Caenorhabditis elegans: one gene and its partners. The protein of the gene in region 2 purifies or fractionates together with the protein of the main gene of each other region. This does not show direct contact. Each region holds a gene or a part of one and is shown on either strand. Other genes may lie near its edges. The genes, in order: Y60A3A.25, T22F7.1 and R193.1.

Region 1 (10,722 bases), on a different chromosome or scaffold from region 2:
ATTATTTTATTTCAGTTTTCGGCTTTCTCTTATTAGCTTTATCTTTCAAAAAAATGATATAAAATTTATTTTATAAATTATATTAAAAAAAGAGGCAATTGTAAATTTGTTTCTCTTAGAATTCTCAATAAAATTCCAAAAACATACCTGTCGAGGACTTGCAGCTGGGAGAGTTGCCCGACGATTTTGTGTGCTCCCGCGTTGCTGATGAAAATTAACATTTTTTAGAAAAAAATATCAAAAAAAAGACGCAAATTTGAGATGATTGTTTGATAATTAAGATGACGTAGCAAAATCTGGGAAATATTTTCAAATGACTCTAAATTTGCCCCTGATTTTGGCAAAATGTATAAAAAGTACCTGGATGACATACAGTCCCTCCACTTTGCTCTGTGTACCTCTGCCTTTCTATGTGTCAATGCCTTGCCGGTGGGTGGCAGAGCAAAGCGGAAAGGCTGTAGATCACTATGTGCCAAGTTACAAGTTACTAAAAGCTAACCAAGATTTTCATGCATTCGGCAATTAAAATATTTTCCGAGAAGCAAAATATCAGAAAGTGATCCATTGAGAATTTGTAGATCACAGTAAAATCTATAATATTTTATTGAAATCACACTTTTAAATTTTGATATGGGTGTACGTAGCACAAATCTTATAGATTTTGTTGTGTTTTTCAGTTTTTCAGTACATCATTTTTTGATATTTTTGCTTCTCGGCGGTATCTAGAGACATGAGTGCTAACTAACCTGTTCCTCCGCAAGTATCCTCGCTTCAGCCTGCGCGGCTTTCCAGTTGGCCAGATTCCTTATATTGGATTGTTTTTGTCGCGTGGGGCGACCCATTACTCTGAAAATAATCTAATTAAAATTAGGAAATGTTTCATTTTGAATTTTTATGTGTATTGTTTTATTTCTCAGGAAACATAACACCCGTCTTCCTTCCGTCTGAAACTTGCCCAAAATGGTATGATTTCTATCGTCCCGGAGAAGTGATTTTCGCAAAAAACGCTCTCGCCGCGGCCGACATTTTTTGGGTTTCGCTTAGGGGGCGCGGGTAGTCGCAAGGTAGGCGCGGCAGGCGTTTTACCGCCTGCATGAAAACATACACGTCGCTAAGATACCTTAATTTTGACTTACCTTTGAATATAGTAAAAAATCTTTCGAAATGATTGAAAAATCGATTTTTTTACAAAAAATGATGGGAATATTGATAAGAAGTTTCACATCACGTTAAATTAATTAACTTTTCAATAATTTTTATTTCTCGTTTATTTTAATTTCTCAATTAATTTTTAATTTTCAAATGAGAACGTAAATACAATAAATTGTATGAAAAAACGGCATAGAAACTATAAATTCTTCAATCTCAATTTTTCGAATTTTTTTACAAAACCCGAGGAAACAGCAGATTTCGATTTTCCCTGTTTTTATTAAAAACTATTATCAACTGCCAATGTTCACACCATACAGTGAAATGGTGGTTCCTGCGCCGCGGCCGACACTTTTCGGGTTCCGCGCCGCTCCATACAAAGGCGCAAATCGCGGTGCAAGGTAGGCGCGACAGGCGTTGAGGCATAAGGTTCTGGCCTTCCTTATTGCAATTTTCGCGCTCCATTGACAATCGCCTGCAGGACAACGCGTGGTAAGGTTGCGTACTCCACACGGACAAGTATATTCAGTTTTAAGACTAAAAGCGAGCCGCGGCGCGACACGCAACGCGCCTAAATCTACCTTCAAGCCAAAATGGCATAGTTCGCCAAACTCTTGCATTTCAGTTAATGAAGGGAGCCAGAATCGCGAGTTTTGGAGCCTGTATGGAAGTATGAACCCAAGAAATAGATAGAATATGTTTAACTCACATTTGATACTAGTTTACAACTGCAATCTATAGTGCTAATAAATTTCGAAATAATTGAAAAATCGATTTTTCACAAAAAATGATGGGAATCTTGATAAGAAGTTCCACATTGTAAGTCACGTTAAATAAATTATTTTTTTTCGTTTATTTTAATCTCTAGTTTAATTTTCAATTTTACATACAATTTAATTATCACGTGCCGAATTTTTTTTAAATGTAGAAACCATAAATATGTTTCTAGTTAGATTTTTTTGGATTTTTACGGGAAAAACCCGAAAAAGTATAGCGGAAAATCTATAAATTATTCAATCTTAGGCTCTTTAGCCGGGCAAACTGCAGATTTTTCCTGTCCTGGCAATCATACTGACATTTTCCAGTTGAAAAATGTTCCCTTCTAAATACAAAAAAATCTGAAAAAATTGTGATTACTCTGACAACTGTACAACAAAATTTATTCACGAATAACGCATTATGTTCGACTAGTTCCGGAAGCTCCGGAACCTTAAAGTACACGTAACTCTTCAGAACCGAATTTGATTTCTTTCAAAATGGCATACCTAAAGTTTTCGACAGCTGAATAATCATACTTCCGTCGTCGATTGCAATTTCAACTTTCTGGATTCTAATTCTTTTCTTCATTCTATATACCTGACAAATGTATAAAATTGATTTCACTGAACCCCACTGGTTGATCTACACCTATCATACCATTGGTGGCGTTTCGTTGTGCATCAATTTGTTCGGTATTTACCTACTAACCTTTGAGTTGAAAGAGCTTGGCGCTTTTCGATACTATTTAATGCTATTTCAGGTAAATACAGCTTAAATTGTTAGCTAGAAGAGTTCAAACCATCATCATTACTATAAGTAACAAATATTTTAAGTCTTCGACGTCATTAATGGGCGGAGCCTAGTTACGTCACACAAAGGGCGGAGCTTGGAATATTCTTTGACTTCATGGGAGGGGTCATACAAGCTCCGCCCATTTTGTAGGCGGGACTTGATAAACTGCGTCTTTTTTTCGCTGCAAGATCATGGCGGAGAATTCAAATTTTCAGAGATACAATTTTTTGGCGGGCGGAAAATTCAAATTTTCTGGGAAAAACATTTTGGCGGGAAATTTAAATTTTGCGAGAAATTTTTTTTGGCGGGAAATTTAATTTTTCTGAAAAAAATTTTAGCCGGAAATTCAAATTTTCTAAAAAAAAATTTTTTTTTGCGGGAAATTCAAATTTTCTGGGAAAAACATTTTGGCTGGAAATTCAAATTTTCTGGGAAAAACATTTTTGCGGGAAATTCAAATTTTGTGAAAAAAATTTTTTTGGCGGGAAATTTAAATTTTTAGAGAAAATTTTTTTGGCGGGCGGAACATTCAAATTTCCTGAGAAAAATTTGGCCGGAAATTCAAATTTTCTGGGAAAAACATTTTGGCGGGAAATTTAAATTTTGCGAGAAATTTTTTTTGGCGGGAAATTTAATTTTTCTGAAAAAAATTTTAGCCGGAAATTCAAATTTTCTAAAAAAAAATTTTTTTTTGCGGGAAATTCAAATTTTCTGGGAAAAACATTTTGGCTGGAAATTCAAATTTTGTGAAAAAAATTTTTTTGGCGGGAAATTTAAATTTTTAGAGAAAATTTTTTTGGCGGGCGGAAAATTCAAACTTTCTGAAAAAAAATTTTGGCAGGAAATTCAAATTTTAAGAGAAAATAATTTTGGCGGGAAATTTAATTTTTCTGAAAAAAAAATCATGGCGGGAAATTTAAATTTTGAGAGAAAATTTTTTTGGCGGGAAATTCAAATTTTGAGAGAAAATTTTGGCGGGAAATTCAAATTTTGCGAGAAATTTTTTTTTGGCGGAAAATTCAAATTTTCTGGGAAAAAATTTTTGGCGGGAAATTTCAATTCTCTGAAAAAAACATTTGGCGGGAAATTCAAATTTTTTGCAAAACAATTTTGGCGGGAAATTCAAATTTTCTGAAAAACAATTTTGGCGGAAATTCAAATTTTCTTAGAAAATAATTTTGGCGGGAAATTCAAATTTTCTGAAAAAAAATTTGGCGGGAAATTCAAATTTTCTGAAAAAAAATTTGGCGGGAAATTCAAATTTTGCGAGAATTTTTTTTTGGCGGGAAATTCAAATTTTCTGAGAAAGGGCTTATTTCTTCATGACCCTCATTATTCCAGGTCGTTTGTTCACTAGCTGACATCACTATTACCACTCTTTCATCAATTGTTCCATTATACCCATTGTTCGCAATTTCCTCATATGGCATTCTAGCTCTTTGGCTGGATGTTTCTGCACATTACTGTTTGATAAATGTTGGAGTATGGGCATATCTGGAAATGGAGTCCCTACTTTTGTGTTTCTTCAAGAAACATCAAACAATTGCGGTGATAATTGATGTTCATGTTATTCCAAAGTTTATCCCATACTTTTGCTATTTAATGGCTATTGTGTTCCCAGCTATACCATGTGTCGGATTAGATTTTTTGACTGTTCAGGAGGAAAAGCAGTTGGAATATATCAATATGGTAAGTTATTGAGTTTTTTTTCTAAAATAATATAATACAAACAAAATTTTGTTCAGACTTCCCCAGAATATTATACAAAATTCGCAAGCCTACCTAACTTCTCAATGTATAAAGAATCCAACTATCTGTATGGTGTAATTATTATAACATTCATCGAAGTTTCAGTTCTCATCGCCCTGTTGGTATTTTTCAACATGGACCTTGTCCGCATGATGGTTCGATTGAAATCTCAAATCTCTGCTGTAAACTACCAGAGGCACCGGGAAGCAATTCAAAGTCTGGTTATTCAGACGTTCGTCTCAGTTATATGCTCGGCGCCAACATCGTGTTTTGCTCTCGCCTTGGCTCTTAGATTGGAGCACTCACAATTGATAGCTGAACTGATGTTAGTTGTGTTCTCATGTCATTCATCTACTAATATTATATCGTTGCTCATATTCTCACCGCCGTATCGCAGGTTTTTGGAGAAAAGCTTTAAGAGGTAAGGTCCTGAAATTTTTTTTATTTGTTTGGCTGTGATAGCCATCAAAATTGATTGCATTTTAAACTAATACATACTAGTTTTATACAAATTATGCTAATTGGGATAAAATTTCAGAAATCGCCGACAAATTTCCGTACATGTGCATTCACAGAGCGGATAAATTCTTTAAATTTTTCTTTATAACTAAAGTTTGAAAAAAATGTTAACATTGATTTAAAATTTTTCTCGATGATTTTCATTTGATATGACAGAATTAAATATGTATGCTCTGAAAATTAAACGACGTTTATTTTTTTTATTTTTTCTTTCTGAAATTTTATACCCAAAGTTTTCGACAGCTGAAAAATTACACGGCTTCCAGCTGTTATGCCAACTTGAATACATATTTTTTTAAATTCATTTCATATAACCAACACATGTATAATATTGATTTCACTGAACCTCACGGGTATCTACAACCAGACAAATCCGACCAACAACCTTACTCCGGGTATATTCGTGAAATGCATTTTACTGACCAGAATGCTATAACCAAATGTCTAATTTAAATAAACATACAATAGATCTATATATATACATATATGAAACAAATTAGTTTGCAGTGATGATGCTGATGTACAAAAAGAAAAAGGCGAGTATCATGAAAGTTTGAGTTTAAGAGAAGATATGTTGTGGATGGTGAACAGGACAAATTTTTTCGATTTTCCGATTTATCGTTTTTTTTTCGATTTCTGAAGTTTTGAAAATCGAAAAATCGAAAAATAATCATAAAATATGAATTTTTATCTAATTTTGTTTATATTGATAAGAAAAAACATTAAAATTTCTTCTAAGAAGAAGAATAATGACCAAATTATTAAGCTAATTTTTGAAAATTTGAAAAATCTTTTGAAAAATCGGAAAAGGTGAGAGGATTATCAATACATTTGATGCTTATCGTGTAACCAGAAATGTTGCCAATTCCTTCAACTGTTCAATATCAGGTCCTGCGTTATCACATAAAAACTGCCAATTGTGTTGTAACAGATTTCGAGCATCCGGATAAAACCAACCACCGTATGCAGTCAGACGCGACGCAATTCGATATTGTTTTGAAAACTCCTGAAAAAAAAGCGTGTTAGAAAAAACACTTTTTTTTTTTGGTTTAAATGCCAGAAAATCGACCATGATAACCGAATATAGCTGTTAAAAAAATTTAATTTTTTAAAATTTTATGATTTTTCAAAATTTTTCAAAAAAAAAAACAGCTCTATTAAAGTTAAGTTCCGCGCAAATGAGTGACGTCATTTTTGAGATTTTCGCGTTTTCCAGCTCAATTTGTCGAACTTTTGTACAGTTATATTCGGTTATCAGGGTCTATTTTCTGTCAGCTTTAAAATATTTTCAGAAACCTGTTTTAAAATCCACATGATTAAATTTAACCTAATGGAGACAATTTGAGTTTATCTGATTAATTAAGAAGAAACCCTAAACCGTTACATTTTCCATTGAAATGAAATTGCCAATTTATCAATAAATTCACTTACATATTGCAGTTCACCTGCTCCGTGTTCAAAAGCCACCGTCTCATATTTCTGTTTTGCTCGAAAACAACCGCTTGCTAAAGTACCTGGGGGAATTCCAACCTGAAAATCTAAATAATGCAAATGTTTTCATAGATTTCTCATCTACTCACCTTTTTGTTGTCAAGATCAGCCTGAGCATCGTCATATACTTTTTCAGTTTCATCCATTCTTGTTTTCAGCTTCGCCAGATTCATATCACGTCTCTTCAAGTTATCCTTTTCAGTGATGATATCTGCTTTATCACGTTCAAAATCTGCTAGGCACCGAAAAACTTGCTCTGAACTACAATTGGTGTAGTAAACTTTGATGATGCGAAGATTTGAGAAGCAGGGACGAAGGACAAGCTTGACCGCTGTTCGGAAATGTGCTTCATTCAAGATATTCTGGTTTAGAAGGTTTTCATGGGTGAGCTTCTGTGATTTGAAAAACGTTTCGTTCTCATCCCGGATACGTTTCTTCTTGTCGTAAGAATTCTGTGCATCTTCTCTGTTTCTTTTTCGTTTTCTTGAAACCTGAAACGTTTTAAATAGTATTGTAGTACGTAAAAAGTTATATGGACATGGAAGGAACTCCAATCACAATTTAATCTCCCTGAGGTATAAAATGCGAGTTAAAACTTACCATTGAATCAGTTTCACTCTTGATTTCACTATCAAATGAGATCTGTGAAATCGCGTCGTCCTCGGTAAAATTGTCTGTAAAGTTAGGGTTTTTTGGAAACCAGATTTTAAATGTTAATTCTTACCATTGAAATTGTCGTCATTGTTCCATGGTATAGCTGGCAGCACTGGCGCTTCAAAGACTTGCCCCGGACCAGTTTCCATATTCCATAAGTTCAGGTCATTTGCATTTGGGTCGTTGTTGTCGGGTTGTTGGAATTGGTTGTCTGAATAACGAGAACATACACGAGTAGCCAGGGCAATAGTAGCGTACCGTTATTCAAATCCACCCAGCCCGACTCATTATTGTCCTGATACTCTTGATATGGTTGCATGTCCATTGTTTGAAAATTTTGATGTATTCTGTCCAGATTGTGCCAAGTTTGTGAATTGTCAAGAGCATTGTCAGGATTCTGAAAAAATGTGTATTGAGGGATTAGGGTTAACACGTTTTGTTAGATCTTGAACAAGAATTGTTCAAACTTTCGCAGTTAAATGCCTAAAGTTCCCAATACATATCAAACGTCGTAAGTAGGTCTTCCACGAGGACGCTACTCCCGCCCGCCCGCACCACACCACAGCTTCGTAGACATCATGCAAAAATTTGAATGTTCGCCACAATTTTTCAAAACAAATTTGAATTCCCGCCAAAATTTTTCACCGAAAATTTGAATTTCCGCCAAAATTTTTCTCAGAAAATTTGAATTTCCGCCAAAATTTTTCTCGGAAAATTTGAATTCCCGCCAAAGTTTTTCAAAGAAAATTTGAATTCCCAGAAAAAATTTTTCACAGAAAATTTGAATTTCCGCCAAAATGATTCTCTTACAATTTGACCTCCCGCCAATTTGTTTCACAAAAAATTTGATTTCCCGCCACAAATTTTCACACAAAAATTTAAATTTCCGCCACAATTTTTCTCAGAAAATTTGAATTTCCGCCAAAATTTTTCTCGGAAAATTTGAATTCCCGCCAAAATTTTTCAAAGAAAATTTGAATTTCCGCCAAACATTTTCCTAGAAAATTTTATTTTCCGCTAAATTGTTTCACAAAAAATTTGATTTCCCGCCACAAATTTTCACACAAAAATTTAAATTTCCGCCACAATTTTTCTCAGAAAATTTGAATTTCCGCCAAAATTATTTTCGAAGAAAATTCGAATTTCCCGAAAAAAGTTTTTTCAGAAATTTTTTTTTTTTAATTTAAATTCCCGCCAAAATTTTTCACAGAAAATTCGAATTCCCGCCAAAACTTGTGGGTCAACTCTTGGTGAAGTTGGGTGTGACGTCACAGACTAAAAAGACTACATATACTACAAGCTCCGGACAGACTAACTGTTTTTTATCTATAAAGATAATAAGTTCACGAACCTGCTGCGCAAACTGGTGATCATGATGATCCTCGTTTAAATTCTGATTGAAGTAGTTCCCAACCGAATTGTTCTGTGGATTATCTCCAACAATTTGGTTCTGGGCTGTGGCTTCTGATGTTGTTTTCTTTCCAAACCAACTTTCAAGACTGGGTAATTTATGTGAAGATCCTTCTTTGTTATTTCGTTGGGCATTTCCAGATGTGCCAGCATCAATGAATCGGTGAGACGTGCTCGGAAACATTTGACAGTGCTGAAATTCTTAAATGGAGAGCTCTATTATTGGAAGTTGGTGGAGATAAAGAAAAAGTAATAATTATCAACAGACTTCTTTGATAAGCTTGAATTTCACAAACATATGTTCCAGTTTTAAAATTCAAAACCTCAAATATAATTTTTTTTTTGGATGAATACCATCAAAAAGTTCAAAAAGTAGCGCCAGCTCATAATATGTAGAACACTCAAAAAATTTTTTGAAAAATACGAGCTTTTGGGAAAATTTAAAGGAACATCGCATGTTTCGACCCCTACAATGTTTTAATACAAACAATTTGAACAAAATTAAAACATAAAAAATGTCGAAGAAAATTTTTTTTTGGTCGACTTCCAAAATCATGAGTGGCAAAAACTGAGTAATTGCCACTTTTTGACAGTAAATAAAAATTTTCAAAATTTTTTTGAAAAGTTTTATCATGATATTTGGTCATTTTGGGATCAAAGGAGTGGTTTTTTGACGATTTCCCCACTGGCGCTACTCCACCTTTAGCATAATATTTAAGGAGAAAACACAATATTTTGTATGAAGCAAAAATATATGAACATGACATCGCAATTAAAAAAAGGAGGAAAAAAACCAAACTCAAAAGAGAAACTTAGAGAGAAAAGACAGGCGACAACTATTGACATCTGAGAAAAGAGAGAGTGCTGATAAGAGAACAAATGGAAATGTTGCAGCAAAATAGACCCTTTTGGCCAAATATGACCATAAAAAATTGATAACATTTTTTTTAATTTTGCATAATTTAAAGAATGGGCCAAATTATTTTTGAATTACCTCGCAAATGAGTGACGTCACTTTTGACATATTTTCGTTTTCCGGCTTATAATTTGAAACACAGTTTGTCAATTTTTGAGGCATCATTCCGTTGAGAACACTTGGCAATGGGAAATAAATTTAACGAAACTCTGAATTTGGGCCAAAAATCGACTATTCAAAATTAATTTCAACTATTTTTAATGCAAAAAAAATCTGAAAATGTAACAAATTATTTTTCATTAATATACACCAAAAAAATGTCGAAAATGACGTCACTCATTTGCACGGGAATTTAAAAATATTTTTTTTTCAAAATTAAAAAATCATAATAATGTAGATACATTTTATAGAAAATAGCCAGCGGAAAAATTGATAGGGAAAGTAATAAATGAGTTAAAAAGAGGAGAAAATGGCAACAGATGCGATGACAATGATGAAAATTGATAAAAATTGTTTTCCGTGTTTCTGACAAAAATATAATTTTTTTTTTGGTAACCACCACTCAATTCAAAAAAGTTTGTACTTAACATAACATATAAGGAGAAAGCACAATATTCTGTACCAGCCGTGGACCGCACCTCCTGTAAATAACAATGTAAATAAAGACGACTATTGTAGCTTCCATATTGGTTCTTATTAACCAAAAGCGCAGAACATTCAAAGTCTAAAAAAAAGTTGGGTACTTGTGTATTACATGCCCTCATTTTAGTAGTAATTTTTTAAGTTATGCGAAATAAAAACGTGAACCACACTTTTGCATTTTTAGGCTTAGGAATTACCAATTTCTAAGCCTAAAAAGAGAAAATGTATATCACGTTTAATTCAAATGGAGAAATTAATGAACATTAAATTTAATTTAAAAATCAGGGCATGTAATACACAAGTACCATAAGTTGTGTTAATTATCGCTTGTAATACAATACTAATTTTTCGATCATTTCTCTGAGTTGAGGGTACTACTTTTTACCTGAAATAAATCCTTTTTTTTTGGAAACATATGTTAAAAAACTGTGACAACTGTACAACAAAATTTATTCACGAATGATGCATTATGTTCGACTAGTTCCGGAACGGGATTTACAGGTCTTTTCAAAAAAAAAATCTCATTAAAACAATAGAAAAAAGAATTCTAAGAAGTTTAGGGTAGTGAAAATCTCATTTTTCAATAGAGTGGGGGGCTACACGTTCATTGCAAGGGAGAGGCTCATTTTGGCGGGGTAGAA
Region 2 (11,574 bases):
AATTATTATAAAACCCCTAAAAATGAGCAGTTAACAGTGTTACACATTTTTGGAAAAAAAATGAATTTTAATTTTTTTGAATTTTTCCAGCCAAGAGCAAAATGTGCTGTCAGTTTTTATTTGGCCAGAAAAAAAACACCATTTTATTTGGAAAGAAATTCTACAAAAGCGGTCGAGGACACTAAAAACAGCGGAAATTTGCAATTTTTAAGCTCTTGAGCAATATGAGTTATAAAATTTTGTTTCGTCACATCTGACGTTTTTATAAAAAATTCGTAAAAATTCTACTAGTTTTGAGACATGAGCAAACTGTGATGTCAAATTCAATTCCGCCAAAAACATCATTTTTCTTTTTTTTTAAATTACAAAAACATAAGCAAAGTAGATACAAAACTGCAAGAACAATAGTCGCATGCTCATTGAGCCCACCATATACAACGCTCGAGTTGAGCAGACTATCCGAACGGTCAACACACCCAAAATAGTACGGGAAAATGAGAGACGGAGAGGTAAAAGAAAACAATTTGCATATTATTCATTCCTTCTACAGCCTCTTGAAAAACCTTTGAATTCCGAATTCTCGATCACTTGAGATGCCAGAAGCCTGAGGGATGAAGAACAAGAAGAGATCAAAAGTGAAAAGATATATGTGAATACGGGCGGTGTGTCTACTTGAGAATGTATATTTATCTGCCGACAAAAGGAGATGAAGCCAATATGCATGTCAGTTTTAATTAGAAATTGATTTTGATATAATATCACCTACTGATTTTCGCCCCAAATTTTTACAGCTTTTCAGGCAATTTAGGTGGAACGAAAGGGTTGCATGAGAAATTGAGGCTTTCACACGGTTCAACAGATTTTTGTGCCATTCACGTGGTGTCAGGCTATGCCATTACGGTTTGATCTACAAAAAATGCGGGAATTTTTTGGCCCAAAAACAATGTGACGTCAGCACACGTTCTTAACCATGCAAAATCAGTTGAGAACTCTGCGTTTCTTTCCCCGCATTTTTTGTAGATCTATGTAGATCAAACCAAAAAAAGACACTCCGGTAAAAGACGAGAACAACATTTCTTAAACAATTTTCTAAAATCCACTATTGGTGGAAATTCACGGGTACCGAAATATAGGCTCCAAAAGTATAAAAACCGTCAATTTAACTTGGAAACTTGTTCCTTTAAATTGAAAAGCAATGATGACTCAATTCATAAAATCTTATATAACATGCTTATATTATCATAATGCTAATATATCAACCGAGATTACAGATCTTTACGCATTTTTCGATTGCAATCTCATCGTTGCAGAGATGACAGGCAACATTGCAAAATGACCATAGGTTCAGTTATTGCCTAATCTAGATTGAAATGAATAACTTTCAGTTTTCCAGGTCAACGCCTGCCTACCACCTAATTTGCCTTAACTTTCCACACTTGCCTTTAGGTATAGGGCAAGTATGGAAAAGCCTAGAAATGAGACTAAATTATTCAAAAATTATTTTTTAAAAGTAATAAAGGATTTATTCAGGGGTGCACGGCAATCGGAAATTTCGGGCAATTTCGACAATTGCCGGTTTTGGAAATTTTAAGGAATCGGCAATTTCGGTAGTTGCCAGTTTGGAAATTTTTGGCAACCGGTCATTGCCGCGCTATAGAACGTATTGATGAATTCTACAGTTTTAATGTAACTTTCTCGGTTATCAAGTTTATATTTCAGGCAATTTTGATTTCCGACAACCGGCAATTCCAGCAATTGCCGGTTTTCGAAATTTCCTGCAATCGTCAATTTCAGCAATTGCCGAAAAGTAGCGCATTTCTGGATTTATTTAATCCTACATATACTACTTTTCAGAAAATCAAAAAAGACAAGACCCAGGCAACACAAGACGAAAAAAGGACTAATTCACCGTTTTCAACTAACAAAAGCGGAAAGGCAAGGGCGGCTAAAGTCGGAGAAAAATGGGCAAATCTTCAGTATTTTACTATCCCTCCACACCTCTTGCCTTCCCTCTACACCGATTAACCGGAAAACTACCAAGAAGAAAAGAATAATAAAAGGAATATACATATTTGCAGGTAGTACAAAAGATCGTCGGGCTTAGGATTTCGAGAACTTTGGAATGTTAGAGCCTACTAAAACTTGGGTATTAGTAGGGCTCTGCTCAAAATTGCTCGCAGTGCAAAATTTCAGTATGTCGATTTAATGGGTAGAAGATAAAATTTTGAGTTTCCAGCCAATTTGTTCAGATAATTAAACATTCAATTTCTAGCTAAAATTTGGCAATTCAGTTAAAAAATTGTTAAATTAAATTATTTAAAATTGCGCCAAAGTAAAAAAACGATCAAAAGTTAAATGTCGAACTTCCTGCTATTTTTGTTTGAACTTATACTGCACACAAAAATTATTTTTAATTCAGCTTCTGACGGAGAAAACCGAACTTCAGTTTCTCATGACGCCGAAATATTTAGTCATAAGCTCATTCAGAGCTCTTTGGGATTCGGAGAATTTTCTAGGTCAAAAAGCTTAGAAAAATAGCTTTAGGGTAGGCAGGCACCTACCTTGCCTACCGCCTATTTTGGTCATTCCGCTAGATCCTTGAAGGTAGGCGGGTAGGCATTACTCTGCCTACGTAGAATAATCACTCCAAATTTCAGAAAAATTGGGAGAAAAAAATAATTTAATTTATTCAAAACTGGGGATTTTTATCACAAAACAAAATATTACAAAATATTACAAAAAAACACAAATACACGTCTGAAAACTCGTTTTTTTTTCTTTTTTTGTCACTGGGTGATCATAAAAAAATTCAAATAATATTAATTAAAGCCCTAAACCTTGGTCTCCTGCTGGCACCACGTAAGCCCAGAGCACAACAATCCCACTGCTGCTAGCACCAAAAACTGTGCTCCAGGAGCCGCCGAATCAATCAGAAAAATGTGCGGCGCCACAATTGCTCCAATATTGCAGCATGTCGAGCAAACCCCAATACAGCACGACCGGCACCACGTCGGAAACAGCTCGGCAGCGTAGATGAAGCAGAAAATGTAACAGCATGAGGCGCAAAACTTGGCAACGAGCCAAATGATGAGGTGTAGCGATGTGTCGTTTGACAAGAAATACATTGTGAGAAGGGCCATTGAGCCAGTAAAATGGCACAGAAAACGGGTTGGGCGACGTTTTGTTCTGCAAGTTTACACGTAGATACGAAAGTTTTTTCTATTACCTGCCTTCGAGGTTACCTACTCCTGCCTTGCATGTCTGCAAGGCGACCTACTCCTACCTTGCCTGCCTTCAAGGCGACCTACTCCTACCTTGCCTGCCTTCAAGGCGGCCTACTCCTAGCTTGCCTGCCTTCAAAGCGACCTACTCCTACCTTGCCTGCCTTCAAGGAGACCGACAGCCAAATACACACTAAACTTCCAACAGATTAATCGAATAACTAAATTTCACTACAATAATACAAAAATAGGCAGGTAGGCAGGCAGAGAAAAAAGTTCCTGCCTACCATAAAACCCACAAAAAGTGACGTGTTTAGTCACTTTTCATAAAATTCTCACATTATCAAAATCCGCATACTCTGTGTTTTCAGAAAACTATAGACACAAATAGGCTCGAAAATTTTGGGTCTCACCACGAAAATATTCACGGTGACGTCATGCAGTCAATTTGTAAGCAATTCGGAAAATGTATACATTTTTAATTGCAAATTGTCGGCGCTTTCAGAAAAAAATATAATCATGACAAGTTGCCAGATATTTCACAACTCAGGCAACGCAACGTCTGGTGAAATTTTAAAATTTAGAGTCTCACCACGAAAGTATCAACTGTGACGTCATTCGGTCAGTTCTGCGCCTCTTGCGCTTTCAGAAAAGTATAGTTACAATGGGGTTCTAAATTTTATATTTTCCAAAACGAAATATCGGGTCCCGCCACGAAAATATTAATGGTGAAGTCATTCGGTCAATTTAGCAACTTGAAAAATTCGAATTTTTTGCGTTCTCAGAAAAGTATAAACACTAGGGTATCGGAATTTCCCCCAAAAAAACTTGCGTGACTCTGCAAGTGCGCCCCACGGCAAAACAACTAACCTCGTCAAGCATATCGGTATGAAGAGGTAGGCAGGCAACTCGACGACTCCCGAAAACAAAAACGACACCAGCGGATCCGAATTTCCGACAGATGTGGATGTAAGTGACAGCGCACAGTACGTCATAAAAGTGAGAATCCAGAGAAAAGTCTCGACGATGATTCGGCGTGTGATCTCCCGATCCGACAGAATTTCACGAATCATTTCAAATATTGTCAGTCGATTTTGTGGTGTCGGCGATGATGAAGTGGCAATTTTCTCAGTTTTCTCCATAATCATGTCGAGATCGTAGTTGAGCTTTTTACAGGAGAGCAGCTCATTTCGTTTGATCCATTTTTGAACAGCTTTCCGGTTTTTCTTTTCGATTGAGTAGCCGACACTTTCCGGGAGCGTTCTGAAAGAAAACATTTTTAAAAATTTAAGAAAAGTTGTATAAAGTACGATTGTTCTTTAGAAAAATAGCGGTTTTACAACTAAATTTTTCTGGTTCGTTAAGCCCCGCCCTTTTAATGGCATGAATTTTCAACCGACTCTAAGAGTTTTTTTTTTCAAAAAAAACAGGAAAAATTTTTTTTTAATCATTGTTGAAAATGGGCGGTTTTTTTTTAATTTTTAAGGCTCCGTCCCTTTAATGGCATACTTTTTCGATTAGAAAAATGGGGCCACTTTTTTGTGTCCAAATGAATATATCAAAAAAATAAACTATAAGAATTTGGGTCTTACAGCGCAAGATTTCAAGGTTCATCGACTTTATAGGTAATTAAAAATTTTCAGAAAAGTGGCAAGGAATTCAACTTTTTAATTTTTCAAAAAATATTTGCGGGAAATTAAATTTTTAATTTGAAAGCAATTTTTATAGGACACTGACACTTTGATTGTTTAGAATATCTTGGCGGGGAATTCAATTTTCAAATTTTGGGTCGATTTTCTTTCGGCTATTGTCAAAATTGCCGATTGCCAGAAATTCACAAAACCGGCAATTGCCGGAATTGCCGATTACCGGAAATTTCCGATTTCCGTGCACCGCTGAACGTACCCCATCAGAAACACAGCGACTAAAATATTGGGAAGAGCAGTTGCCAATTGAAGACTTCTCCACGTGTTAAACCATACAGATAATGGAGCCAAAAAACAATAACCGCATACCCATGAGACTCCGAAAAATATTGATGTTAATGATTGAGATCGATGTGGAATACTTTCACCGCTTAACACGTAGTTCACTGTTGTCAGGGGCTGCAAAATATCGATTTTTTAAATTTTATGGTTGAAGGCAAAAAGGAGAAGGTGGTAGGCAGGCATACTGAGGAACGTTCCGGCAATCGGCAATTTCGGCAATTGCCAGTTTTGGAAACTTTCTGCAATCTGCAATTTCGGCATTGCCGAAAATGAGATTTTCCCGAAATCGGCCATTTTGGAAATTGCCGGTATTTGGAAATTTCCGGCCATGGGCAATTTTGGCAACTGCCAAAAATGAAAATTTCCGGCAATCGGCATCTTGGGCACTTGCCGGTTTTGGAAATTGTTGGCAACCGGGAATTTCGGCATTGCCGAAAATGAAATTTTCCGGAAATCGGCAAATTCAGCGATTGCAGGGTTTGGAAATTTTCTGCAATCGGCAATTTCGGCAGTTGCCGGCTTTGGAAACTTTCGGCAATTGCCGTTTTGTGAATTTGCGGAAATCGGCAATTGCCGAAATTGCCAAAAACTTGATTGCCGAACGGCAATTGCCGCGCACCCCTGGGCATACCCGACAAGCCTGAGCACCTAAAAACATCAAAAATTCCCATACCGTATAACAGGATCCTTGTATAAATCTTGCGACAAGAAGTAGCGGAAAGTTCGGGGCAAGAGATCCTAGAGAACCCACAATTCCAGTAAGAAGAAGGCATATTATAATAATTGGACGGCGGCCAAATCTGAAATTTTATAGGAATTTTTAAAAATAAAAATCAATCTGAAAAATCTCACCTATCAGCTACAACTGCAAACAGCTGTCCAATCAACAGATTTCCCAAAAAATAAATAGAAGTTGTCAATTCAGCGGGCTCAACGAGAAAAAACTTGGAGGTTAGGTTGAATTCGTTTTGAATTGTGTAAAACGAGCAGTTTTCTGTACATTCATCGCCGGCCGGAGCAGTGAAAGCTGGCGAAATTGCACTGAGAGCACATAGAGACCAGAGGAATGACATGGAGCAGATTATGAACAGGGGATACGGGCGCCATCTGAAAAAAATAATTATTTTAAAGGGGGTTTTGATTGCACTCCGCTACTCAAAAGCCGTTTAAGTAAATTTTGTGTCTAAAAATATGGCTCTAGAATTATTTAAACATTGGTTTTTGTCACAGTCACAGTCACCGAGGGTCAATAAAAATGCTTCAATATTATTTTTTTTCTTTTCGAAACCATTTAAAATTATCAAAAGTGCAAATAAGACCGTTTTTCGAGCAATTTTATGGGCTTCGAATAGGGAGTGGACGGCAAACGATTTTTTTCCGGAAAATCGGCAAACCGGCAGTTTCCGATTTGCCAAAATTTGCTTGTGAATTCACACATTTTTTTTTGAAAATTTCAGCATTTCAATTTAAATCGGCAAAATCATTTTTATGAACAGAAAGCAAATTCTATGAGAATATCTTTTTAAAAAATGGAAAAAAATTTCGAAAAATTGACAAACCAAAAAATTGCCGACAATGAAAATTTCGGCAAATCGGCAAACCGGCAATTCGAGCACCGCTGCTTTGAGCCTTGTTGAAAAGTCTATAAATTTGGAAAAAAAACTCACGCTGTAGTGGCTTTCAGGAGCTCCTCCACACTGGAAATAACATCTTGTCCACCTTCTTCCACTTGAACCAATCCATAATTTTTCTTCTTCTTCTGATGCTCTTCTCCATCATCATAAGCATCAGAAAGTGATGACATTAGTGGTGATGTATAACCTCCTCCACTATGCACAACTTCTTCCTCTTCTTCTTCTGATGCCTTCATATGGACCTGTCACACAACACACCGCCGTTTCATCCGATTATGCAAATTTTCCAGGAGATTTCTGAAAGTTTATGAAGAGTTTATAAAAATTATCATCGGGGTTTAAAGTTGCATAATCAACAAGTGAGAGCAAAAGGGGTAGAATCAGTGCAATAAAAAGGATCAAAGTACACATTCAAAGAAGAGAAACGTGGCTAGGAACAAACAAGAATACGAAGTACAATTAGAATGCGGCAATTCATACAGAGAAGAAAAAAAAAATTAAAATTACATTTTTCCCCACCAAACGGTTTTATTTCTTGCCTATTAAAATTGCTTCCAATCGTTTTTTTTTTAATTTTTTCAATTGTGCTATTTCGCTTTTTATATTAGTGGCTATAAAAGTGAACACCTAATCATTTTGCCGTTGTTGTTTTTGTTGTGACTGTATGTCAACACGGTAGATCAAAAATAAATTCTGTGGAAAATTTGCGATCGTGTTTTTCGATAATGTAAAATGAGCAGCACAGAAGCACTGTTTTTCAAAAACTACAGTAGTCCAACATTACGCCTACAGTAGCGCTACAGTAAAATGTTGAAAACTCTTGAATTCGTTGGAAGGTTGAAAAAAGTTTTCTTTATTCACAATTTTTATAATAAATAGTTGGTTCTTAAACCGCGCTCAGGTCAATTTTCTGCATTTTGGCAAAAAATTTTGACGTAACGAAAATTAGTAAGCCATAAATAATAATCTTATAATCTAAATCTTAGCCAATTTCTAGGATGAAAAAAAAATAAATGGAAAAAAATGATCGCAAAAAGAAATACTGAAAAAATGATTAAAATTGATGTAACGTTCAGATAGAGCTCAAACTAAAAACATAATGAAACCACCACCCACATGGTCAAAGGTCTTTCAAGAATCTATATTAATGTCCTCCGCATTCCATTGGTTAGCACAAGTACTAAAACGTTACCAAGATAACAAGTTTACAGTGATTCTAGCCAATATATACGACTGTGTGGGGGTGTGAGAAGTAATGAAAGGTGTGGTGTTTCTCAGAGTCAGCAGGTGGGAAGTTGGAAAAGAGTCACATGAGAGAGTTTGCAGAATTTAATTTATTGAGATGAGGAAATTTTGACTAGAAAATTCCCGACAAATCGGAAAATGCCGGAAAATCAGCAAACCCGCAAATTACCAATTTGCCAACTTGACGAAAAACGGCAATTGCAAAAAGTGTTTGGCATTTACACTTTTTTCCGTCTTATAAAAATCCCTCTAAACATTTCCGGCAAATCTGAAGAAAATGAAAATTTCCGGCAAATCGACAAATCGGCAAATTGCACAAATTCAAAAACAAATAGTGGTTTTTAAACGATTTTCGTTTAGATAAACTCGGCAATTTTTATTGGTTTTTTGGTTTAGCTGTGCACCCGGGGCGTATTTGATAGAAATAAATAGCTAATAATGACGACACGAGAGCAAAAATAATTGTGATGTAGGGATTTTTAAAGCTATATTTTAAATTTTGCTTCCATCGAAATTTTCTAAAATTTTCCAGCAAGTGCTAAAACCAAAAACGCTCAAGGTTCACAAAATAGTTTGCCACAATGATAACACATCTCCAATATCAAAATATCAATTGCCCTTTTTGTTATTATCAATTTTACAGTCTTTATAAACATACACGCATATGTATTTACATAGTTAATTATTAAATAGCTTTGGTAGTTCACGAAATATTGCAAAGAGCATATGGGATTGTCAATTTTGACAGAACACTTGATTTTTCTTAAAACCTAGAACATGAACGTAAACGTGTAACCTAAAAAATTGGGCCTAAAATTTATTTTCAATAGCTCTAGTATTTTTTTGAGGTACTGCATAGAGCATTTGGTAATTTCAATTTCTCAAACATGAAAGTGAACAAAAATTGAAAACTTTTATAAAGTAGTACGTAAGAAGCATATTTTCGTTAGCTAAGGCAGCTTTTGAAAAAATAAATTTGGAGAGCAATTGGCGTTGTTAATTTCAAAAAAATTTTTACCACAGATTTACCAAATTTTATCTAGAATTCCCAACAAAAAAGTGCAAAATTCACAAAATGCCTACCAAAACACAATATCAAAATATCAATTGTCCTTTTAACTATTATCAATTTTACAGACTCTATAAACATACACATATATGTATTTGCATAGCTATTTGAATGGGAAGTGACCAAATGCAAAAAGAAGAATCAAAGTATCAGCATATCAATTTTCGTGTGGGGAAAACGAGAAAGAAAGTTGATGATTTCGGCGAACAAGGCGTTTATATTCACCTCGATTACCCTAAAAACTTCCAAGAAAATACATTTCGACGTAATTCAGATAGAATTGTGCCCTTTTCTGTGTCATTGAAATTTTTGAGCTTGCAGAAATATGTATAGTGAAGGTAAATAAATTATTATCAACTATCAAAGGTTGAGTTGAGAGATTACAATCTTTAAGTTTGTTTCATTGCACTAAAGTTCCAAAAGACCTAGTTTCATAATGAGATTTTTCAACAAAAAAAATTAATTTTTATTTATAGAAGTTCAAAATTTCGTAGAAAAACTCAGATTTTGCGTTTTAGAAACTTTAATTTTTTTAGTTTAAAAACATTGTTAATTTTGAAAAAAACATTAATTTTTCTTTAATTTTTTTAAATTTAAATTTTAAATTTTTAGGGGATTTCCTGACATAAATTTCCCTAACCAAAAATGATAATTCAACTAAAATAGCAAAAATTATTTTTGCGAAAAAATTCAAAAATAATTGAAAGAAATTTTTTGTAAAGTACCAAAGTTTCGTATTCTGTAGAAATACTGCGAAAATTAGCCAATGTATGGGCGGAGCATATTATTGCTTTTTCTTGTCTCGGTCCATTTTCGGACATAAAAGGTACAATAAACTGAGACTTGCCCGAAAATGCTTTTTCCACAGAAATCTTGCGATTTTTGAACAAAATGCCTTTTTTTATTTCGAATTTGCATTAGATTTCCTACTTTATTCAAAGTACTAGAAACTGCGATTTTAGTGTAAAAATTTCAATTTTCGGATATTTGCGACATAAATTTTGTAAATTTTTAGTTACATTTTTCTCAAAAACTTCAAATTTTTTTTTTCAAATTCAAAAACAAATAGTGGTTTTTAAACGATTTTCGTTTAGATAAACTCGGCAATTTTTATTGGTTTTTTGGTTTAGCTGTGCACCCGGGGCGTATTTGATAGAAATAAATAGCTAATAATGACGACACGAGAGCAAAAATAATTGTGATGTAGGGATTTTTAAAGCTATAATTTAAATTTTCGGAAACTTTGGTGTTTATTTTTTAACTTTTTTAAAATGTTTATTTGATTATTAGATTAATTAATGAAAGAACGAACCGTCAGCTGCACTGGAACCTCTACTGGAAATCTGATTTGACTAAAATTGATCTTTGGAATATATTTAAAAATGCACGGAGTTTTGTGTAGATTTACAAGTGTGGATTTACGTGTGTGGATTTCCTTTTGTAGGTTTACGGGGTGCTTTAGATCGACGATAAATTGGAAAACTGGATTTTTTATCAAATTTTCACTGATTTCTGCGACAAATTTTTTACATATTTTCGGAATAATGGCACTTTTTGTTTGAAAAAAACTAAACAAAATTCAATTTTTAAAGATTTATTTTTCCAACTGAACTGGGAATTTTTGCAACTTTTTTTTAAATTTAAATTTTTCGAATTTTGAATTTTTTAAATTGAGTTTGATTCAAATTTTTTAGTAATTTTTGAAAAAAAAACAATTGACATAAGTTCGAGCCTAGGATTCTGCAAAAAAAATGTTGAAAAATTGGTGTAGATTTACGGAGTTTGATGTAAATATACGACTAGGTCTGTCACTAAAGTACAAATGTGCATTGGCTTGAAAATTTTTAAGACTGAAAATGATGGAGACTTACAAAAAATCGTGTAGATTTACGAATAAATACGATTCGAATGCTACTAATTTTAGTGAAAACTTAGAACATTCTCTCGAAATTGAAACTATTTTTAATTTTGCAAAACAATTTAGAATCGACATTTGCACAGACGCCTATCTCTAAAATGACATCAATTTTCAGAAAAGTTCAAACAAAAAAAAGTTTTTGATAAAACATTTCCTTTGAAAATCAAATGCACAAAGTATGCACATGGGGGTCAAACTACCGACAGAAAATTAAAAAAAAAACTTGGAGAGGATGACACGGAAGGAACTGATTGACACATTTAGTTACCGGAAAATAATAAGAAAAGTCATTTACAAAACTCGTGTGCAAGTGATGACTTCTGAAAAATTTGACTGTTATTTGATCAAAGAATAAAATCAAAAACTAACTGAGAAAAGCTGATTGAAACTGCGAGGGCATTATACAGATTTACGAGGGAACATAGTTGTGGATTTACGGAAAAAGTATGCAGGTTTAAGGAATTTGTGTGTAGATTTACAAAGTAGATGGTAGATTTAC
Region 3 (8,215 bases), on a different chromosome or scaffold from region 2:
AATTTGCAGGAATTGAGAATTTTTTTCTTTAGTTTTTGGCGGAAACTCAAACTCATTTTTTCTAAAGAATTCTGGTGAAAATTTGAAATTCATTTTTTGGCAAGTAACAATTGGTGGGAATTTATTTCTTTTCAATTTTTCAATTAATTTTTCATTGGAGATCAAAATCATATTTCCAAAAATAATTGGCGGGAGTTCAAAATTAATTTTTCAAATATTCTAGTAAGAATTCAAACTATAATTTTCATAAAAACTTTTTTGGCGGGAATACAATTTAAATTTTTAAAAAAATTGGTGTGCGTTCAAATTTTGAACATTTTGGCGAAACTGTTTGGAATTCAGAATATTTTTAAATAAGGAGTTTCAGCAGGAATTCAAATTCAAATTTTTCAAAAAAAAATCTTGCATACAGCTTGAGTTTTTTTGGATTCTCAAAATCTGAACCAACCTTTCTTTCTTTTCAAAATCTTTTCAAAAGTTATCAGTAAACAATTAGGTGTTTGATGACTTACTAGTTTCCGCTTCTGTTACAAAAAGTGAAATTGGATATCAAAAAGTGGAACCTGTGAAGTGCAATTCAGGTACTAACTATGTAGAAGATTTTTCAGATTTTTAGAATTTTTTCAGTTGAAAAAAAAAACTCTAAAAACTCCAGACAAAAACCAACACAAAATGAAAGTTGCAGCCTCTAATGTTTGATTTTTAATCTCACACTCACCCATCCTGGAAAACGATGTTGATGAGGCAGTCGGTGTCGCCAAATTTCCCGATTCAGAAGGCGTCGGGAAATTGGAATTACCCCCAACCATCACTCGCAAAGAAATGAGCAACCTTTTTGCGAGGCGTGCGCATAAACACCAAGACACCGGAAGTGCGGGTGCACAAGTTTCGACCCTTAAGTCGGCCACATTCGACACGTACTTGTACAGAGGACGTGTGCTCGAATGGTTTTTAAAAATTGTGAGACTCGAAATGTTACTAAAGTTAAACATTTGACCCCCCCCCCCTTAGAAACCTCGAAGAAACTTCTGGAGACAAAATTGTTGACACTTGTTCAGAATCTATTTAAAGGTGAAGTAGCGACTGTGGGGAAGCTGTAATAAACTATATATATGGTCCCAAATTGGACAACTAATATATTTCAACTTTTCAAAAAAAAAAACATTGAAAATATCTCATTGGCAGTCAAAAAGTGGCAATTATTCAGTTAATCGTTTGCTCTAGAAATGCCAAAAAATCGGAAATTGCTACTTATAAACTGTCAATAATGATACGATTCAAAAAGGTGCCTTGAAAAGTTATATTACAATATTTGGTGAGTTTAACACTATATGAATGGGTTTTTATCATTTCCCCACTGGCCGTTAACACCGGTTGTCAATTTCTTTTTTCCGTTAAGAGAAAATTATATCCCGAAAGAGATTTGCTGAAACTTGAAAAAAAAGGCCTAAAAGTCGTAATTTCATGTGAACGTATAATTATTTTACAAAAAAAATCTGCGAAATAGACAATCGGTGTTTCACATAGATTATCACAAAAGTTACGGAAAAAAACCCAAGTGGCCAAAAACATTTTGGACCATTTTCTATCCACCTTTAAATTAGAAAATTTTCAAAAAATTCTCAGGTGTATTGCTCATGGTGCACCGAACAATATGTGTTTTTTTTTAGGTTTATTGAACCATTTTTTACAGGTACTCATTGGCCGGTATTCCATTCGCCGTCGAATTTTCAGACAGATTCTCTCCTAATTTGATTTTGCAAAAAAATAAGTTGCGCGAAATTCAAATTTATATTTTTTCAAATAGCCCGAAATCCTGATATTCAGTTATTCAAAAAACGTATGTTGCGAAACTAAAATTTTCTATTCACAATCCACAGTATTCAGTTTCTTTGGCGAATCGTTGCGAGACCCGTAACGAACATAATTTCCAAATTTACAATTGTATCAAAAAATTAGGCCCCAAAGGAGCCTTGCAGAACAAAAAAGAAATACATGCAACTTTTCTACAGTAATTTATTTGTCATTTGATATTGTATACTTTTGATTTCGTGCCTTCGAGCCAAACTTGTTTGTCACATTACATAAGAAGAATATGTTCTCCCGCAGTCTTTCATATCAAATTCAGAAAACCAAGTCCGTTATCAATCGAAATCACACCTCGTCTCTGCAAAAAAAAATAGCTGAATATTTATGACCGAAAAAAAAAACAAACTCACGAGATCCCTTTTTATCTGCGAAACCGTCTCCTTAGGGCCGTCAAAAATGTCCAGACCACTCAGAGAAATCAAGGTAGATCATGCTTTCATAATCGTCTTTTTTCATCGGACGCTCTCCTTTTGCCACATCAATTGAACTGAAAGCTTCTTGATGCAGAAAATGGTGGAATGTATTTGGCAAGGGGTGAACAGTGGCAGTATCAAATGCTCCGATTTTAACGCGTGTCAACTGCAACAAAAATGACTGTGAAACTATACTGAACTTGGGTGAACAAACATTTGTATCAAAAAACAAAGACGATGGTGCCAAGTTGTTATGCGTAACGCCCAGTTGATGAATATGATGAAGACCTTTGAGCATAACGCACCCGATGGCCAGACGTTACCGGAGCTAAGCTTCTTGACGTTATACTCCTCCATATAAGTTTCCATCGAGAGCATTTCATCAGAAACTGAAAATGGAATATTATTTGGAAAGAAGTGACATCGAAAATCGTACCAATCACGTAGTAATCTCCAAATGAGAAGCGTTCATTGAACTGTGTACAATGACGGAAGCCGGTCAGAAGTTGTCCGCATAGAACCTTCTTCTCTGCAGCTACACGGGAAATTTCGTTGTTCGTCGGATACAGTTGAAGAGAGAATGCGCCACCGCCGTCGACTTTTTCCGACACTGTCTCTACACCGAATTTTCCAAGATACACCTTATCGCAGATAAAATAGTCTCTAACAACATCGCCGGTCTTGATGACCGATCTGAAATAAAAAATTCAGTTTCGGTTCATCCATGAATTGTTTCATGGATCAAGAACACCTGGTTCCACAAGTCATTCTCACATGACTGCAAAAAATTACGAACATTGGAGATCCGATGGATGGCAGTTTTGGAGCACAGAGAGCAGACGTGTTGTAGAGCATAGATGGTAAGGGATGACAACGGCAGAAGCAACAACCAGAAGTTTGAATGACAAGGATAAGTGATTTGAATACGGATTTCTTCGGTTTATATATGCAAAAATTTGAACTTTATCTTTGTTTCTGATCTGTTTGTCCTTGTTTTTCTGTTTTTTGAAACAAGTTTTTGTTTTTCGAAACAATTTTTTTGTTTTTTGAGACAGTTTTTTGTATGTTTTTTTGGCATCCACAATTGTTTCTGAATCTTGAGAAATAGGCATAATCAGGCCCGTAAATGTTGAATTTCCAGTTGTCTAGTCAATATATAGGTCAAAAAATTGAATTTTTATACGTCCATACAAAGGTCTAAAACTTGAGGGGTAGGCACAATCAGGCATGCAAAATTTATATTTTAGGTTTTCACATCTAAATATAGGTCACAGAAAAAACTTTTTTGTACGCCCATACAGTGTTCTGAAACTTAAGGAGTATACATACTCCGGCACGTAAAATTTTATTTTTATGTCATCACGTCGAAATGTAGGTCACAGAAAAAACTTTTTTGTACGTAAATTCAAAGGTCTGAAACTTGAGGGGTAGGTACAATCAGACATCGTAAAATTTATTTTTTAGGTTTTCACGTCAAAATATAGGTCACAGAAAAAAAAATTTTGTACGTTAAGCTACAGTTCTGAAACTTGAGGGGTAGGTACAATCAGGCATGCGAAATTTATTTTTTTGGCTTTCACGTCAAAATATAGGTCAGCAAAAAAAATGTTTCATACGTGAAGCTACAGTTCTGAAACTTAAGGGTTGTACACAATAAGACACGTGAAAATTAATTTAAAGGTTTTCACGTCAATATACAGGTCACAAAAACCTGTTTCACACGTCCATACTAGGGCTGTCATCTTTGTGAAAGCCAAGAAACAGTATTTTGCTTTATAGTTTTAAAACCGCTGATAGTATCAAAATGAAGTTAATTCTATATGGACGTAGAAAAAAAGTTTTTCTGTGACCTATATTTTGACGTGAAAACCTAAAAAAATAAATTTTACGTGTCTGATTGTACCTACTCCTCAAGTTTCAAAACTGTAGCTTAACGTACAAAAAAGTTTTTTCTGTGATCTATATTTTGACGTGAAAACCTAAAAAACAAATTTTACGTGTCGGATTGTACCTATTCCTCAAGTTTCAGACCTCTGTATTCACGTACAAAAAAGTTTTTTCTGTGATCTATATTTTGACGTGAAAACCTAAAAAATAAATTTTGCATGAGTGATTATACCTACCCCTCAAGTTTCGGACCTTTGTATGGACGTATAAAAAATTCAATTTTTTGACCTATATATTGACTTGAAAGCTCGAAATTTAACATTTACGGGTCTGACTATGCCTCCTCCTCAAGTTGCAGAAACAACTGTGGATGCCGAAAAAACATTCAAAAACAGTCTCAAAAAATAAAAACATGTTTCAAAAAACAAAAACCTGTTTAAAAAAACGAAAATCTGTTTCGAAAAAATTGTTTCGAAAAACAAAAACCTGTTTCAAAAAACAGAAAAACAAGGACAAACAGATCAGAAACAAAGATAAAGTTCAAATTTGTGCATATAAAAGTCGGAGAAATTGGTATTCAAATCACTTATCGTTTTCAAGCGATTATTCAACTTCTGATTGTGCTCATCACATTTTTACTGCTCATCGTAATGTACATGAATCGTGCTCCATGTGGTCCTCGCCTGCCAACTCCAGCTTCTCTTGGGTTTGAATTTTCGAGCCTTAGATCCATGAAACAATCGGTGTAATCAATATCATTCTTTTATCATTGATAGACTGATTGGTTTTTGGATTTAACGCCATCTCCTTGCTGAATTTTTCATTACAGCTTGGTGATTTCTGTCGGTAAAATAATAAATGGACATCGAATTGTGGAAAAAGTCGAACGCGGTCGTTTCGGGATCCAGGCCGTGTCAGAGAAACTGCACACTGGCGAACAATATTCATTTTGTGCTTTTCCGGTTGGAAACGAGTTGGCAAACTCTGCTTTCGAAAAGAATATTTTTTGTTCTCAGCTGCTCATTGGAAACAAGAACACGACTATGATGACCGATCACATTGTGGCTGGAAATCTTAGTGTTATCAGTATGAGTTTCGAGCTTCCTTCTCTCCAAATAACACCTTATTTCAGTCAGCAAGGATGAAATGTTCTCAATGCAATCATACTTCGACGAATACAATGTTCGAAAGTTGAGTTACCTGAACACCTGGCGGATCGGTTGTACTATGTTGAAAGAACTGGAGTAGATCCACACATTTGGAATAGTACACACCAACATCTCTCCTGCTTCACTTTTCTTCGATTCCTCTGTATGTTTACCCAAATATTATCATTGTTTAGTAATCATTCTTGTTTCAGCTCGACAGTGTGAAAATTGGTGCCTTCGACACCGCGCTCGTATCCGACTTCAATCTGCAGAATCCGTTCAATCCACACTTGCATGCTGAAGCTTACGCATCAATCAAAGTGGCACAGGGATCAGTCCAACAAAATGGGACGATTACAAGAGTTTTATTTACACTCTTATCACCATGAGTGGACTTGATTGCTTTGAAGGGCCACAGAATGTTGTGTTGAGCAACAAAATGAAGCTCGTGAGTTTGTTATTTTTTTACTCTTGAAAAATCAACTATCGTTTTCAGAGAAGAAGTGATATGAAAATTGATGTGAATTATGGATATATTCGTGAAGCGTGGTCACAAATTGAGAAATGTGCTACCCCCGCTGGAATATTCGATCAACTCGTCAAAGAGTATCCCCATGTTGATTGGTTCTCGAGTTTCGATATGAAAGATTGCGGGGAGAACGTGTTGCTCGAGTAATCCATTGAACTTTTTTCTAAGAGATCTCCATGTGATAGAAAAACAATGAATATTAACAGAATGCATTTGTCCCCCTGATTTTGCAGAGTTTCCTAATGATGGAGACTAAACGAAACTTGGAGCACAATTTCAGTACCTTGAGATCTGTACTTCAATATGATAAGGTTTTCAGTAGACGTCCATCGAAAAGTCTCGCACCTTGATTTCAGAACTCGAAGAAACAAAAAGTTAGAAAAAAGTTGTCAACTGAAAATGTTAAGGTTCGAATCGGCATGAAATCCACAACTTTTTGAAAATCTAGAAATATACCAAAACTTTCAATGAATTTTTGGTGTTTTAGGCTTGATGTGTTTTTTTGTATTTCTACTACAAATATAAGTGTTTTCAGATTTTTAGAAAAAAAAATTGCTTGTTCGTTTGAAATAGAACATTTTGAAACTCAATCTGGAAATATATATTTGGTAGAGCTTGCTCAACCTCGTGGATCTATCAGAAGTGACCTAAGAACTTTGCCCAGTTGGGTTTCGGGGGTTTTGTGTTCATGAAGAAGCATTGCATGTTTAAAATTAAAAAAAATTTTTTTTTTTTAAATCAAATTCATTATGAAAATTTTAATTCCCATCTCTGCAATCACCAACTTGTGCATTTGATTGAACATAGGTTTCCTGAAAATGAACTCCAATTCGACTAGATTCAGATTTTCAGTTCAAACTCACCAAAAAAATGATGTTGCTGACGAGGTACCATTACTAGTTCTGGCATTGAATTGCATGACCTGAACATGGAAAAAAATTGAAGAATTAAAAATTGGGAAGGGGGAATTTTGGGCGAAATCTGTAGAAAATCGGCCATAATAACCGGATACAATTGTTAAAATTTTTACTTATTTTGTTAATATTAGAATCATATTCCCAGTTTGCAAAAAGATTTCAAATAATAAATTCTGACACGGGAATTCTTTTCGAATAAGTTTTAAAAACTTAAGTCTAAAATTTTGATAAACCAAAAATTGGGTGGGGCCCTCTATTGAATTGTTTGACGGGGTTTTCTGTTTTTCTTAAGATTTCTTTTTGCAGTATAGAAGAATATGAACAAAAATTTATCCCACGCTATCAAATTAAGATCTCAAATCAAGAATTACCACTTTCTGGCTCCACTCAATATTAGAATTGCACATTTTTCGCAATATCGGTGGAGAGCTGTAAATAGTACAGTTTTTGAATATTTTTGATGATATATTAAAATTTAATACATAATACATAAGTACTTGTCTCTGTTATAATTTTAAATTTCTGGAAACTACTGAGATTTTGCTACTATTTTTGGAAAGAACTAGAAATTTGCAACAGATTAGCAGAAGAGTCAAATTGCGTGGAAGAAATTAGAACATTTTAAATAATTTCAATAGCACTTTATTATGTTAATCTATTTAATAATTCAAAATTTTGATAATTCCCTCAGCAGTTCTTTTAATTCTAGGAATGTTCATTGGTAGATCAAAAGTGAAGATAATGATCTTGCTCAATGGCGGCTGCGCGCAAAGTCTAATTTGCCAACACACAGTTGTTAACAGCAAGGAGGGCATTGAATATCGATCGTTCACTATACGCATTTTTCTTTATTGTGTATTATTTTCAAAACATTTTGGTTTAAAAAAATATAATATTTTTTCAAAAGAATCGGACTATTTCCGTAACTAATCAGAACTTGAAAATAAATTTCAAGGAGTAAGAAGAATGATTCTGATGATCTGAAATTTTAGCAGAAATGTCGTGCTTATTTTAAATGTTTGTTTTATCGAATTATCAATAACATACTACTTTTTCAGTTTTATACAAAATTGGAGCTCCAGGGACTCATGGACTCATAGATTTATGGTCATTGAATTGCATCAACAAAAAAGAGATACATTGATATTTTTTAATTTTGAGTTAGTTTTAGAAACATTTGTTTTTTTCAATGATTCTAGTTAGTTACAAAAAGATTTATTTTTTCAAAACTTTTATGTAATTATAGCAACAATTTAGAAATAGCATTGTTTCAAATGCCCACTTTTCACTTTTTACTCAATTTTTCTTTCAGTTGTTATTCTGATTTTTGTGTATTACTTTTAAAGCACTTTGGCTTTAGAACTATAACACTTTTTTCAAAAGAATCGAAATATTTTCTCAACTTTTCAGTATTTAGAAAGAAATTTCAAGTAACAAAAAAATGTTTCTGAT

What was found.
Region 1: the proteins of T22F7.1 (region 2) and Y60A3A.25 fractionate together in Caenorhabditis elegans (co-fractionation; one large-scale study listed by BioGRID). This does not show direct contact.
Region 3: the proteins of T22F7.1 (region 2) and R193.1 fractionate together in Caenorhabditis elegans (co-fractionation; one large-scale study listed by BioGRID). This does not show direct contact.

The regions. Positions count from the first base shown.
Region 1 is NC_003283.11:19,985,472-19,996,193, forward strand, and holds Y60A3A.25 (BZIP domain-containing protein), read right to left. Parts: upstream 8,723-10,722; 5' UTR 8,708-8,722; coding exon 8,465-8,707; intron 7,511-8,464; coding exon 7,372-7,510; intron 7,325-7,371; coding exon 7,184-7,324; intron 7,134-7,183; coding exon 7,060-7,133; intron 6,951-7,059; coding exon 6,549-6,950; intron 6,499-6,548; coding exon 6,400-6,498; intron 5,975-6,399; coding exon 5,807-5,974; 3' UTR 5,262-5,806; downstream 1-5,261. Other genes in the region: clec-260 (C-type lectin domain-containing protein), read right to left, coding at 148-204, 747-842; sri-67 (G protein-coupled receptor), read left to right, coding at 2,513-2,668, 4,042-4,389, 4,446-4,870, 4,988-5,033.
Region 2 is NC_003281.10:537,632-549,205, reverse strand, and holds T22F7.1 (Major facilitator superfamily (MFS) profile domain-containing protein), read right to left. Parts: upstream 7,141-11,574; 5' UTR 7,080-7,140; coding exon 6,877-7,079; intron 6,317-6,876; coding exon 6,062-6,316; intron 6,010-6,061; coding exon 5,883-6,009; intron 5,327-5,882; coding exon 5,127-5,326; intron 4,485-5,126; coding exon 4,092-4,484; intron 3,187-4,091; coding exon 2,832-3,186; 3' UTR 2,669-2,831; downstream 1-2,668.
Region 3 is NC_003284.9:1,149,870-1,158,084, reverse strand, and holds R193.1 (uncharacterized protein), read right to left. Parts: upstream 3,138-8,215; coding exon 3,079-3,137; intron 2,976-3,078; coding exon 2,719-2,975; intron 2,672-2,718; coding exon 2,497-2,671; intron 2,449-2,496; coding exon 2,445-2,448; downstream 1-2,444. Other genes in the region: R193.6 (uncharacterized protein), read right to left, coding at 6,580-6,658, 6,710-6,768, 7,135-7,170.